Linked DNA regions of Macaca mulatta. The protein of the gene in region 2 binds, or shares a complex with, the protein of the main gene of each other region. Links are inferred from orthologs where the notes say so. Each region holds a gene or a part of one and is shown on either strand. Other genes may lie near its edges.

Evidence for each region.
Region 1: the proteins of PTPN3 (region 2) and MAPK12 are in contact, whole or in part, in a crystal structure (PDB 4QUM), measured with the Homo sapiens proteins. The link is inferred for Macaca mulatta from reciprocal best matches to the Homo sapiens genes PTPN3 and MAPK12. Residues at the interface, in NP_002820.3 of Homo sapiens: Arg655, Leu671, Asn674, Arg675, Tyr676, Lys677, Asp678, Val679, Arg751, His812, Ser843, Ala844, Gly845, Ile846, Gly847, Arg848, Met883, Gln886, Thr887; in NP_002960.2 of Homo sapiens: Met182, Thr183, Gly184, Tyr185, Val186, Val187, Arg189.

Annotation. Positions count from the first base shown.
Region 1 is NC_133415.1:1,184,399-1,190,377, reverse strand, and holds the start of MAPK12 (mitogen-activated protein kinase 12), read right to left. Parts: upstream 3,896-5,979; 5' UTR 3,624-3,895; coding exon 3,499-3,623; intron 3,420-3,498; coding exon 3,290-3,419; intron 220-3,289; coding exon 161-219; intron 1-160. UniProt on the Homo sapiens protein: Serine/threonine kinase which acts as an essential component of the MAP kinase signal transduction pathway.
Region 2 is NC_133420.1:48,896,093-48,901,851, forward strand, and holds the start of PTPN3 (tyrosine-protein phosphatase non-receptor type 3), read left to right. Parts: upstream 1-2,310; 5' UTR 2,311-2,404; intron 2,405-2,843; exon of another isoform or gene 2,844-2,932; intron 2,933-3,174; exon of another isoform or gene 3,175-3,778; intron 3,779-5,759.

The DNA of each region.
Region 1 (5,979 bases), on a different chromosome or scaffold from region 2:
GGGGAGGGTGTGGGGCAGAGTAGTATGGGGGGGGTTGGCAGTGTGCATCCCCCACTCAGGCTACAGGAAGAGAACCCCATGCCAACCTGGAACCTGAAGCCAGTGCCCAGAGCTGCCCACCACCCCTTGTGCCCAGCAGCCAGCCCAGGTCGGCACTCACAAGTCTGTGAAGTCATCCAGGGTCTCATCAGGAGTGAACACATCCAGCAGCCCAATCACCTGGGGGGCCAGGTAGGGTTGAGAGTGCAGCGGAGGACACGGGCTGGGGCCCCCCCCAAGAGTGGCACAGCCCTCTGGGCAGGAAACCCCCTCTGCAGCTGTCGTCATGCCCCACTGTCCAAAGGGCCTGGCTCTGCCCACTGGCAGCGTGGCCCAGCCCTGGCACACATACCCACAGACAGGTTATTTTTGGATGGTGACAGCCGGGATCTTCTGGGGGAAGGGCAACCCGGAGTCTGGGCTGGCTCTGAACCATCCAAAGGGCTCCTACCACTTGCCCCTTTCTCCCCTCTTCTCCCCAACCAAGCAGACTGACACCCAGGGAAGGGATAGTGCTATGAGGAGAGGCCAGGCCTCTGCTGGTGAGGCCCAGGTGGACAGCACCATGACCCGCCAGACCTGGTCCCCACAGCACCCCTGGTTGGGGAGATGGACAGTGGACAGGTCATGTGATAACTGCTGCCTCAGCATTTTGGGGTGACAGGGTCCCAGGGAGGCCCGGAGAAGTTCTGCACAGCCAAGGATGGAGGGGCAGGTAGACATGTGGGCTGCGGGACACCCGGCAGAGGGCACATGCAGAGTGGCCAAGGCAAGAGGGAGAACACTTGGGAGAGTTTGAGGAACACAGGGAGGGAGGCCAGGTGGCCAAGGCCCAGGCCAGGGAGGGGCTGAGGAGAGGCCAGAGGGAGCCGGCAGGGCAGCACACACCAGGTGAAAGTTTGGCTTTGATCCCAAGAGACAGGGAAGGATTTAAATGGGTGTGATGCTAAACGCGTCCTGCTGGCCGTGGTGTAGGGACTGGCCAGAGTGAAGCAAGAATGGACCTAAACTGGAAGGACAGCTCTGCCAGAGCCATGGGCAAGAATGTGGAGGGAGGAGGAGAAGGAACAGAGGCCCGTCCAGGGAGGCCTGGGAACAGTGGGGTCTGTGGACACGACAGCTGGAGGGTGCCCAGGAGAGCGCTTTGGCAGAAGATGGAAAGCAGGGTCCTGTGGGCTAGGGGCCATAGGACTTGGCTTGGCCTCTGTGGTGTGGGGGCTGGCCTGGAGAGGGAGGTGGCATGGGGATGGCAGGACTGGGGCCTGTGGCAGAGCCTCCTCCCCCGCTGAGCAAGGCATGTGGCCTCACAGAGCTTCAGTCTTCCAGGAAGATGGGGTTCCAGGGAAGGAGCCTCAGCTGCAGGCCGGGAGCCCAGGGGGTGGACCCCCAGGCACAGCGGGGACCCCAGGACAGCAGGGCGGTGGCTAAAGAAAAGCCCAGCGCGGTGGGTCACGGCTGCACTCCCAGCAATTTGGGAGGCGAAGGCAGGCGGATCACGAGGTCAGGAGTTCAAGACCAGCCTGGCCAACATAGTGAAACTCTGTCTCTACTAAAAATACAAAAAGTTAGCCGGGTGTGGTGGTGGGTGCCTAGAGTCACAGCTACTAGAGAGGCTGAGGCAGGAGAATTGTGTGAACCCAGGAGGTGGAGGTCACAGATCGCGCCATTGCACTCCAGCCTGGGCGACAGAGGGAGACCCCATCTCAAAAAAGAGAAGCCCCAGTGGACGGGCGCGGTGGTTCAGGCCTGTAATCTCAGCACTTTGGGAGGCCGAGGCAGGCGGATCACTCGAGGTCAGGGGTTTGAGACCAGTCTGCCCAAAATAATGAAACACCGTCTCTACTAAAAATACAAAGCATTAGCCAGGCATGGTGGCATGGACCTGTAATCCCAGCTACTCAGGAGGCTGAGGCAGGAGAATCACTTGAACCCAGGAGGCAAAGGTTGTGGTGAGCCGAGATCATGCCATTGCACTCCAGCCTGGGCAACAAGAGCGAAACTCCATCTCAAAAGAAAAAAAAAAAGAAGAAAGAAAAGCCCCAGAGCACTTGGCTGGATGGGGCAAGGCCCAAGCAGGTGAGTGAGTGGGTGGGTGGGGGCAGGGGGCCGAGGGGAAGGCTACAGTCCTGGGGCAAGGTCTCGGTGTGACGGGCGGGATGGGGGAGTGCAGTGGTGGCAAGGTGGGGGCAGGGCCGGGTGTGACGGGGGTGTCGAGGTGGGGGCAAGGTTGGTGTCCACCGCAAACAGATTTCACAGGGCCCGGGGTGGTGAGCTGGGGTCAGGGTGGGCTATGGGAAGCCTCAGAGAAAAGGACCCACCCAAGGGGCTGAGAGAGTGGCGGTGGCCAGGAACCAGGGGGCGGGTGGTTTGCTGGTGGACGCAGGGACTCATTCTCCCAGGGCACCGGTGGCTCGGATGACCCAGGAGGGTCCAGAGCATCTCACACTGGAGCTAGGGTCCGGGCGCCCAGGCCACCTGCCTTCAGGCTGGGCCCAGACCAGGGGCAGGGCAGGAGTGACATGGGGGGCAGTGGACAAGTGGGACTGTGTCCAGAAACCAGAGGGCCCCTGGCAGAGAAGTCCGGCTCTTCGCAGCCAGCCACTCCGTGGGAGAGGCCCAGGGCAGCTGTGCATGGCATCTCACAGGCAGGACTGGAAAGGATGGGCCCCCACAACGAAAGGGAGGGTGTCTGTGAGATGACCACCACGCCCAGTGCCCCCCAAACAGCAGCTCCCTGAACCCTTCACTCACCCCCAGGGTTCACCATACTCCCTACGTTCTGGCGCCCCCCTCCTCCCCCTCCACCGGGTCGGAAGACTCGGGAGATGGACAGCAACAAAGTGGGCTCCACAGAGGGGCTGGAGAGGGGCCCGGATGGGAAAGAGAAGGTGCCCCTTCCAGGAAAATCCTCCTGCCGGGAGCATCCTCTCACCGCGGGCTTCCTGGCTGGGGGCAGGGTTTGGCGTGAGACCTGGAGGATCCCCTGGGCCTGGCCAAGTCGTGTCCCCTGACCAGGGCCTGGCTGAGACGCCAAGTCAAGGGGCTCTTTCCCGGGCCTGGCAGAGGAGGGGGAATGGCCCTTGGGGGAGTCGTCTCCTTGCTCTCCTTCTCCCCTGGGGGCCCACGGCCCGACCCCCGCCCCGCCCCACAGCAGGTTGCCTGGGGAAGGGGTTGCCGGGTGGAGGGACCCAGCCCAGCCGAACCCAGCCGAGGCCGGGGCGCCTTCCCGGAGCGGGGTCGCGCGACTCACGTTCTCGTGGCGCATGTGCTTGAGCAGGCGCAGCTCGCGGTAGGCGCGCTTGGCGAACAGCTCCGACTGGAAGGGCCGGTACAGCTTCTTGATGGCCACCTTAGCGCCGGTGCGGCTGTCCACGGCCGAGCTGCGGGGCGGACCGCTTAGCGGGAAGGCCGGGCACCCCGCGCAGGCCCCGCCCGCCCCGCCGGCCGCCCCGCGCTCACCACACCGCGCCATAGGCGCCCGAGCCCACGGGCTGCAGGTCCCGGTACACGGCGCGCACCTCCCAGGCCGTCTTAGTCACCTCCTGGCGGTAAAAGCCACTGCGGGCAGGCGGCGGAGAGCTCATGGCAGGCCCGGGAGCCGCCCACCCCGCAGAGCCCGCGGGCGGTGCCCCAGGACCGGGGACCTGGGATCGGCGGGGCTTCCTCGGCGTGCGCCCCGGGCCGACTCCGCGCTGCTCGCCCGCCCGCCGCTGGGACGCTCCTGTTCCCGGCCCTTCCCTCGGGGATGTCCCAGGTGCCGACCCTGGCCCGACCCCGACCCAGGCAGCGCACGGCCCCTCCCCCGCCCGGGGACCAACCGGCCCGCGGGCGGCGCGCACGTGACGCCCTCGCCCGCCCTCCGGCCCCTCCGGAAACCCGAGGCGGCCGCCGCCGGGGGAGGGCCGGAGCCTGGGGGGAAGCGCAGGGGGAGGGGAGCGCCGCCCCGCAGCTTTGTTCCGACCTAGGGCCGGACGCGGCGCGGAGATACCCCTGTCAGCCTCTCCCCTTTGGCTGAACTGCCCCGCTCTGGGGGTGGAGCCGGGGGAGTGGGGAGCTCCTGCTGAGACCCTGGGCTCCAGTCCTGACTGCCCATGGTTCCAGGGCGCAGGGCCCATCCTTGACAGCCTGAGCGCTGACTTCTATCGGCAGTCCCAAGTTGGGCTGAGCCCTGTGTACCTAGAGTCAACTTCCCACGCCACCCCCAAGGATGCCCTACCTCTGCGCCTGATCCATCCATCCCCGAATGGGGGGTCCATCTGCACCTGTCTTGCCTGTATCCCTCTTTCTACACGGAGGGGTCTGTCTCCCAAAATCCTCAGGCTGCATCCCCAACCCCACCCCTGTGGCCACTGACCCCGGGCCTCTCAGTCCCATAGGTCCCCGAGGGCCCTTTTGGACACCCAACTCCTCCCCCTGCTCCCCCCATCTGCGGGGTGACTGCTGCAAGTGTTGCAAGTGCTGGTGCCCCTGCCCGTCCCATCCCTGCCTGTCCTGTCCTGCAAAACCCAGGCTGAGGGTGGCTGCACTGTCTCCAGCAGGGATGGGGACCTGCTGGGGCCCTCAGCCTGACCCCTCTGTGTGGGCATTATCCTCCCATATGTCTGGCCCCATCCTAGACCAGATGCTCTGGTGGGCGAAGCCCCACCCTGACACCCCCACCGCAGTCCAGAAACCTGGGTCTGAGGAGGGATGTGGGTGCACCCCGGGAGCCCACTGGGCTGGTGGGTAACAGGATCGCTAGGGCCCTCTGCCCCGCCCTCCGGCCATGAATCAGCAGCTCAGCCGCTCAAGGGCGGGAGGAGCTTTACACCTGGGCTTTGGGCTGTGTTCCGTGGCATTCATCAGCTCGTGCCCAGTGAGCAGGGGCAGCCCGGGGCTGCCCAAACCACAGCTGCCTGTGGCCTGCACCCTTTGTGCCCTGGGCTGCCTGTGGCACTCCATCTACCTCTTTCAGGAAGCCCAGCTGCCACTGCTGTCCCCCTTAACTCCCCGTGGTGGAGCTCAGGGGTCCAGAAGGCCCCGCACAGACCAGGCTTCTGAGGGGGGGCTGTGTCCCCATTCTGCTCCCACCCCCAACCGCCAACACTGGACTTCCCCCAGGACTGACCACTACACTGATGAGGCCCCAGGAGGGCCCCCAACTCCCAGACAGTTTCCACCCCTACCCAAGACCCAAGCAAGGGCACAGACTGTCCCTGGCCCCTAGAGACACTGCCTGACCCCAAATGGTCTGGCCCCTCCCCCACACGTAAGCTGCAGAGCATAGTGGGAACGGGACCAGCACACACATTCTCTGGGTTAAAGTGGCCTCTTTTTCCTTCACCAGGAAGGAAAGGAAAGCTATTTTCCCTAGCCCACCCAGCCCCCACCCAGGGATGGGCAGACCCTTGCTCCCTTGACACCCAACTCCCCCCCAGCCAGCTTCCCTGACCACTGAGGGGTAGGGAGGTGGTGTCTGGATCTTGGCCCAAAGCCAAGCCTGCCCAGTACATCCCCACAGGGCAGCTGGGGTCACCATCTGGGTGGCCGTCCCACCCTGTGCCCTCAGAGCCCACCCATCAGCCGTGTCCTCCCCTGGTCCCCCTGGGCTCAGACCCTCCAGGGAGCAGGGAGGGTGCCAGAAGATGGCCACTGGTCTGACTGGGGGCCTGAGGGATCTGGCCAGCTAGAGGTGAGTGATGCAGAGTGACCCAGACACTCCCCCCATGCCCAGCAGTGGGGATGGCGGGGGCAGCAGGGCCTGGAGTGGCCTTTGGATATGAACCGAGCGAGATAACCCCCTTTATTGTGCACCCCTGGTGCAGGCACTTGACACCCAGGCTTCCCTGGGCCCCTCGAGGCAAGAGGTCACCCCCTTTCCAGGGCAGAGCCATACCCCCAACTCAGCTCTGGGCAGGGTCCCGTCTCCGAGGTTACTGGATCAGCTCCATCCTGGGACAA
Region 2 (5,759 bases):
CCAAAGTGCTGGGATTACAGGCGTGTGCCACTGCGCCCGGCCTAATTTGATCTTTCGAATGCTTATTATTGCAAACATGTCATTGCGACGTTAATAAACTTTGAAAAAAACCAACCTTACTACTTCAAAAAAATGACCAGTTATATTTTCCCATATTTCCTTCTAGTGTTGGTGAATGTGTCAACACCATGTTTACACAATCTATTTGTGTTTTTAGCTTTGTTGTTGTTGAGACAGAGTCTCGCTCTGTCACACAGGCTGAAGTACAAATGGTGCCATCACAACTCACTGCAGCCTTGACCTTCTGGGCTCAAGAGATCCTCCCACCTCAGCCTCCCATGTAGCTGAGGCCACAGGTGCATGCCACCACACCTGGATAAGTTTTTTTTTTTTTTTTTTTTGCAAAGATGGGGTGTTTCTATTGTTGCCCAGGCTGGTCCTGAACTCTTGGGCTCAAGCTACCATCTCACCTGGATCTCCCAAAGTGCTGGGATTACAGGCATGAACCACCTCACCCGACCTGGTTTCTGCATTTTTTTTTTCATTTAACATTGTACCCTAAGTTTTCCCTGTTGCAACATGGTCTTTTTAACTTAGTATAAGATAGCTATTATTTCAACTAATATACCATAACCTAATTAATCATCCCTCTATTGTTGAGTACTTTGTTTCCAATTTGGGGAGTATTCTTTCATTTTGTTCCTGCTTCTGTTATGGTGATTTAAAATGCATGATATTAAAAATATTTAGGTCTTTCCTTTAGGTGTAAGCACGTTTCTAGCTCGAATTTGAGGGCATCGTTTAAGCTGACGGCTGTCAGCTGTGAGAAAAGAAAAGGGAGTTTCAGTCTAGGGGTCAGCAAATTAAGACAACTTCGAAAATTCACACATCCTCCGTTGACCTCGTTTTCCTCATCTCAGCAGTTGGCAAACTGGCATGAGGATGACTGTTGATTTAGGTAGCCACTCAACAAATGGATCTTTAAGGTAGTCTAAACACGTTTACGTTCCTTATTTCATTCAACTTCCACTTGGGGCCCAGATTGAAGCGTAGGTATTCACAATGGTTGAAGCACAGAGGATGAGGCAGCGGGGAAAGCACAGAGAATGCCACCCGCTGAGCCCCGGGGCGCTGGGTGGAGCTCTGCGGGGGGCGTCGCCTGCCCCTCCAGGGGGCTCCTCCTTCCGGGGGCTCCAGCCCCGCCCGGCTCCGAGCATGCCCAGTGCGCTCCCCGCCGGTCCGAATGGTGCTGAGCGGGCGCCGCAGCTCCAGGTTTTGCTGGCGACTCGAGGCCGGGCGGGGCGCGGGCGGTCCTGCCCCTGGACTCCGGGCTCCGTCGGAATTCCCCCCGACGCGACGCCCGGGCGGCACCCGCTGCAGCGGCGTTATCCCGGGACATGCGGCTCGGGGACAAGGACCGAAATGAGCTTCTAGGGGTTGCCGGGGCCTCAGTCTATCCCTGGAACGACCGCCCCCAGGACCTGGCACCCAGGCCCGACTGGAGGGTTCCAGCCATCTCTGCATCCCTTCGTTCACATATTCAACAAATAATGTTTGAGCGCCTACTGTGTGCCAGACGGTGTCGCAGGGGGGTCCCTGCAGTAAAGACAAGCAGAGCTACAGCCCCAAAGCTGACATTCAGGAGGGAAATACAACATGAGAATTAAACAAATCGGAGGAAAAGCCAAAGTGACAGATCTCATCTGCTCCTCTGCCTCCTTGCCGTTCCCTAAGCGGTCCGGCGCCCTTTTGGGTCTTTGCACTGGCTGTTCCCTCGGCCAGGAATGCTCTTACCCGCTTATCTGCGTGGCTGAAATACTACTATCACCTTCTCAGTGTCACCCGATCAGACCGCCCATCAGCTCAAGGGCCCTATCCGACTGCTTCACTGAAAATTCACTACTTACCTCCACCCCCAAACCTCCTGACCCTGCTCTTTTTCCCTCTTAGAACTTATCACTTTCTAATATAACGCACAGTTGGCTAATTTGCTGTTTATCTGTCACCAGTCCCTCTTTCCCCAAACTCCACGGGGGGACAGAATTTTTGTCTATTTGTTCACCACGCGAGAAGAACCAGAATAGGTGCTCAATAAATATTTGCTGATAATGGATAAATCGTGTTAAATGCTGTGAAGAAAATAAAGTACATGAAGTGGCCAGGAGCAGAGGGCTAATCGAGGAAGGTGGTCAGGAAAGGCCTCTCTGAGGAGGGGACCTATGTACAATGAGAAGGCGCCGGCCACGTGAAAAGCTGGGTAAGAACGTCCCACAGAGGGAAAGGCGCGCGCCAATGTCCTGAGGCTGGTGAAGTTCCAGAGTCTGATGGACAGAAAGGTGCTCTAGGATCCTCAGGAAGGCAGGTGTGAGATGAGGCGGAAGTGGGAAGCGGGAGCACAGACCAGGTAGGGGTCCCACGAGCCTTGGGGAGGTTTAACCAGGGAAGCTTACTAGTGCCGCGGGACGAGCACTGGACTGGAAGTCAGCGGGACCTCGGCTCTACCGCGCACCCGTCGTGCAAGACTCCTCGTTTCAAAGTTTCTTTGGGCGCCGACTGCTTGCCTTCCCCAGGCATGAAATCACTGAGGGCCTGGCACACAGTAGGTGCCCAGTCATGGTTGTGGAACGAATGGCTGCATGCATGCGTGAGGGAACTCAGGGCCTGCCCGGAGCTCGGCGGAGAGCCCCGGTGGCCCCAGGAGATGCGTCGGGGCGCGCCAGCCTGGGGCGGGGGCGGGAGAACACCGCAGGCCAGCCCGGACGCCCGCCCCCCGCCCGGCGCGCGGGCCCTTCGCGGCCAGCCCGGCCGGCGGGAACCGCCCGCGGGCGGCACTGGGCATGCTCAGACGGCGGCCAGGTCGCGCCGCGAGCGAGCTTCCGCGCCGCCCGCACGCGCGACCTACCTGGGCGCTCTGCGCCCCCGGATGCTTCAGGTACTGGCCAGTGCGACCCCAGCGAGCCAGGGGCAGGGCGCGGGGCTGCCGGGGGCCGGGGTCGCGCTCGGCGCCACCCCGCCCCCACCCGTCCCTGGGGCGCGCGGCGGACGCGCGGGCGGGCTGGCGGGTGCGGCGGCACCGGGTCCCCGCACCACGTCGGGGCGGGGAGGGGGCGCCCCGCCGCGCTCACCTGGCGGGGCCAGGGCGGGAGGGCGCGGGCGGGGCGCCGGGTGGGGCTCCGCCGGGCGGGCGGGCGGGTGGCCGGGACGCTGCGCTGGAGCGTGGGCGTGCGCTCCGGCCGGGCAGGGGCGGGCGCAACCCGCGGAGCCCGTGCCACCGGCACCCCCGGAGGACCCCGCGCCGCCGCGACCCCGGCTTGGGGCTCCGAGGGGGCGCACAGCGCGTGGGGAGCCAGCCAAGCGCGGCGGCCAGCGCTTGGCTCCCAGGGTGAATCCGCCTCTCGGCTTTCAAAGATGGCATTTCCTGGGCCTGGCACGAAACTCCAGCGCCAATAAATCCTCCCCGTTCCGCGGGCGATATGGAATGATTTATCAGGTACCTGCGGTGAGAGAGCTGCAGAGGGGGGAGTGTATGTGAGAGTGCCCAGCCCCCCGGAAATTCCCATTTTCAGCTACCTAAACTTACTGAGAAGTTGCCGTTGCCTTAAAAATTCATGGGAAGTTGAGACAACTTGACACCTGGGTTTTCCGAGTTGGTGGAAGGAGCTTGTGACTTGGAAACTGGAGACCTCCGTTCAAGTTGGACTCCCCTTTGGCCAGCTAGTGACCTTGGGCAAGTTGTTTAACCTCGCTGGTCCTCAGTTTCCTCTCTTGCAAACAGCTGGTAATAATGCCCACCTCGCTGGGTTGTTGAGTGGCTTAAGTGGGATAAATTATGTGGAGGTGTTTGGCACCGTGCCCGGCACAAAGCTAGCAAGCAGTTGGCGTGATGTGAATTTAATTCGTTTAGAGACCCTCGTGGCTCTCATTTCAGCAGGAAATTAGAATTAGGAAACCATCTTCACGGCCTACTGGTGGAGTGACAGACCCTATCTCTGTGCCCAGGAGAACTTCTGCCGAAGTCAAGGCCTTCGGAAAAGCAATTTAGCCAAATTGTAATCAGAGAGCATCTCCTTTAAAAGCAGTTTTATACATTCAGAAACTCCAGAAGTTGGCAGTTTGGCTTCACTTACAAAAGAGCTGTTTTGTAAGATGATCCATCTTGCAAATGTTTAAGCAGATGATGGGAGAAAGTAAAGCCTGCTTAGGAAGATTTCTGTTCTAAAAAGCTCTCAAATCCAACTTTAAGTGATTATTTAGATCAGGGTTTCTCAGCCTTGCACTATTGACATTTGGGGTTTGATAATTCTTTGTGTCGTGGGCATTGTAGGATTTAGAAGCATCCCTGGTCTGTAGATTGCAGTAGCAATTCCTGTCTCCCAGTTGTTCCAACCAAAAATGCTTCCAGTATTGTCAGATGTCTCCTAGGGAGCAAAATGCCACTCCCACACCCCTTTAGAAACACCAGTTTAATTCATGCTTTCTGTCATTAGCCTGAGTTGTTTGATAATTTCATCTTGTGCTTTTGTAATAACTAACCTTTGCATAACCTTGTAGAACTTACAGAGTACATTCACCTGTATCATCTCATTTAATCTTTACAACTCTTGTGAGGCTGGTGTCACTCCCATTTTACAGATGAGGACATTGAGGCTCTGAGCAGCCAGTTACACAGTATGTGGTAGAGCTGGGATGTGTAACCCAAGTCTCCTGGTTCCAAGGGCAGGTCTTTTTCTTCTGCATCAAGCTGCCTGCCCCTTTGTTGTATGGAGGCTTTGATATGGATGACTTTCCGGATGATTAAATCAAGATGTGAAGTATATTGGAAGTTGGAAACTTTTTTGAGATTGACTAGTTGAAAATTAACAACAGTAAGCTATTATCTGACAGAGTAGGCCATTCTAGTTAAATATTCTAGTTTATAGCGAGCTCCCATAAATCCCACATGCAGTTAATGGAATACCAATTTGCAGAGAATTAGAGTAGAATAGAACGTGCCTAATACTCTGTATTGGTCCTGCGTTGTCTCTAGTGATTTGCCATCTCCTGAAAAGGACTCATATATGCAAATTAGACATTAGCTGGGGAATGTAAAAGGTCAAGTTACTGAAGGCATTTCAGAGTAGCTGAGGCATTTATTGAACTTCTATATGGCAGATGTAGTGCTGGGTGGGGATGTGGGTTGGACCCCAGAGAATCCAGGGTGCCTGCATCCACTTCCCTGCAGGAAAGGGCAGGCCCTGGTCAGGCCAGACAGGTGGTGGGCCCTCAGACAGCTTGGAGCAGTAGAAAAAGCCCAAGGTACCATAGAAGCAGATTCAGGATCCCATACCATATCATCAGTCATGTCTCTGAGCCCTCGATTCATCTTTTATCATACAGAAGATACTCTGGTAGTTTTAAGCATGCTCATTGAAGTCTCAGAAACCTGGTTAGGGAGGCAAGGTCAGAGACAAATCTTATCCCTGGAAGAAGTTGGGGTTCCAAGGTGGTAACTGGCTTTAGAGAATTGAGACCAACACTTTGTTGGCTGTGAACTGGAAGGTTTCACACACAGTGGGGTTTGTTGCTGCCAAACCCCACCCCGTTCCCCACCTTGCAGATAAGGAAACTGAGCTGGCAAAGGTGGTAGAGTGGGGCCAGGAGCAAGAGGGACCAATTTTGACCTTCTGAACTACAGGTCCAGGCACGCAAAAGACAACATTTTCTAGGATAGGCATAACCTACCAGAAGGGCTCAGATGGGAGGGAGTGAGAAGACATGGC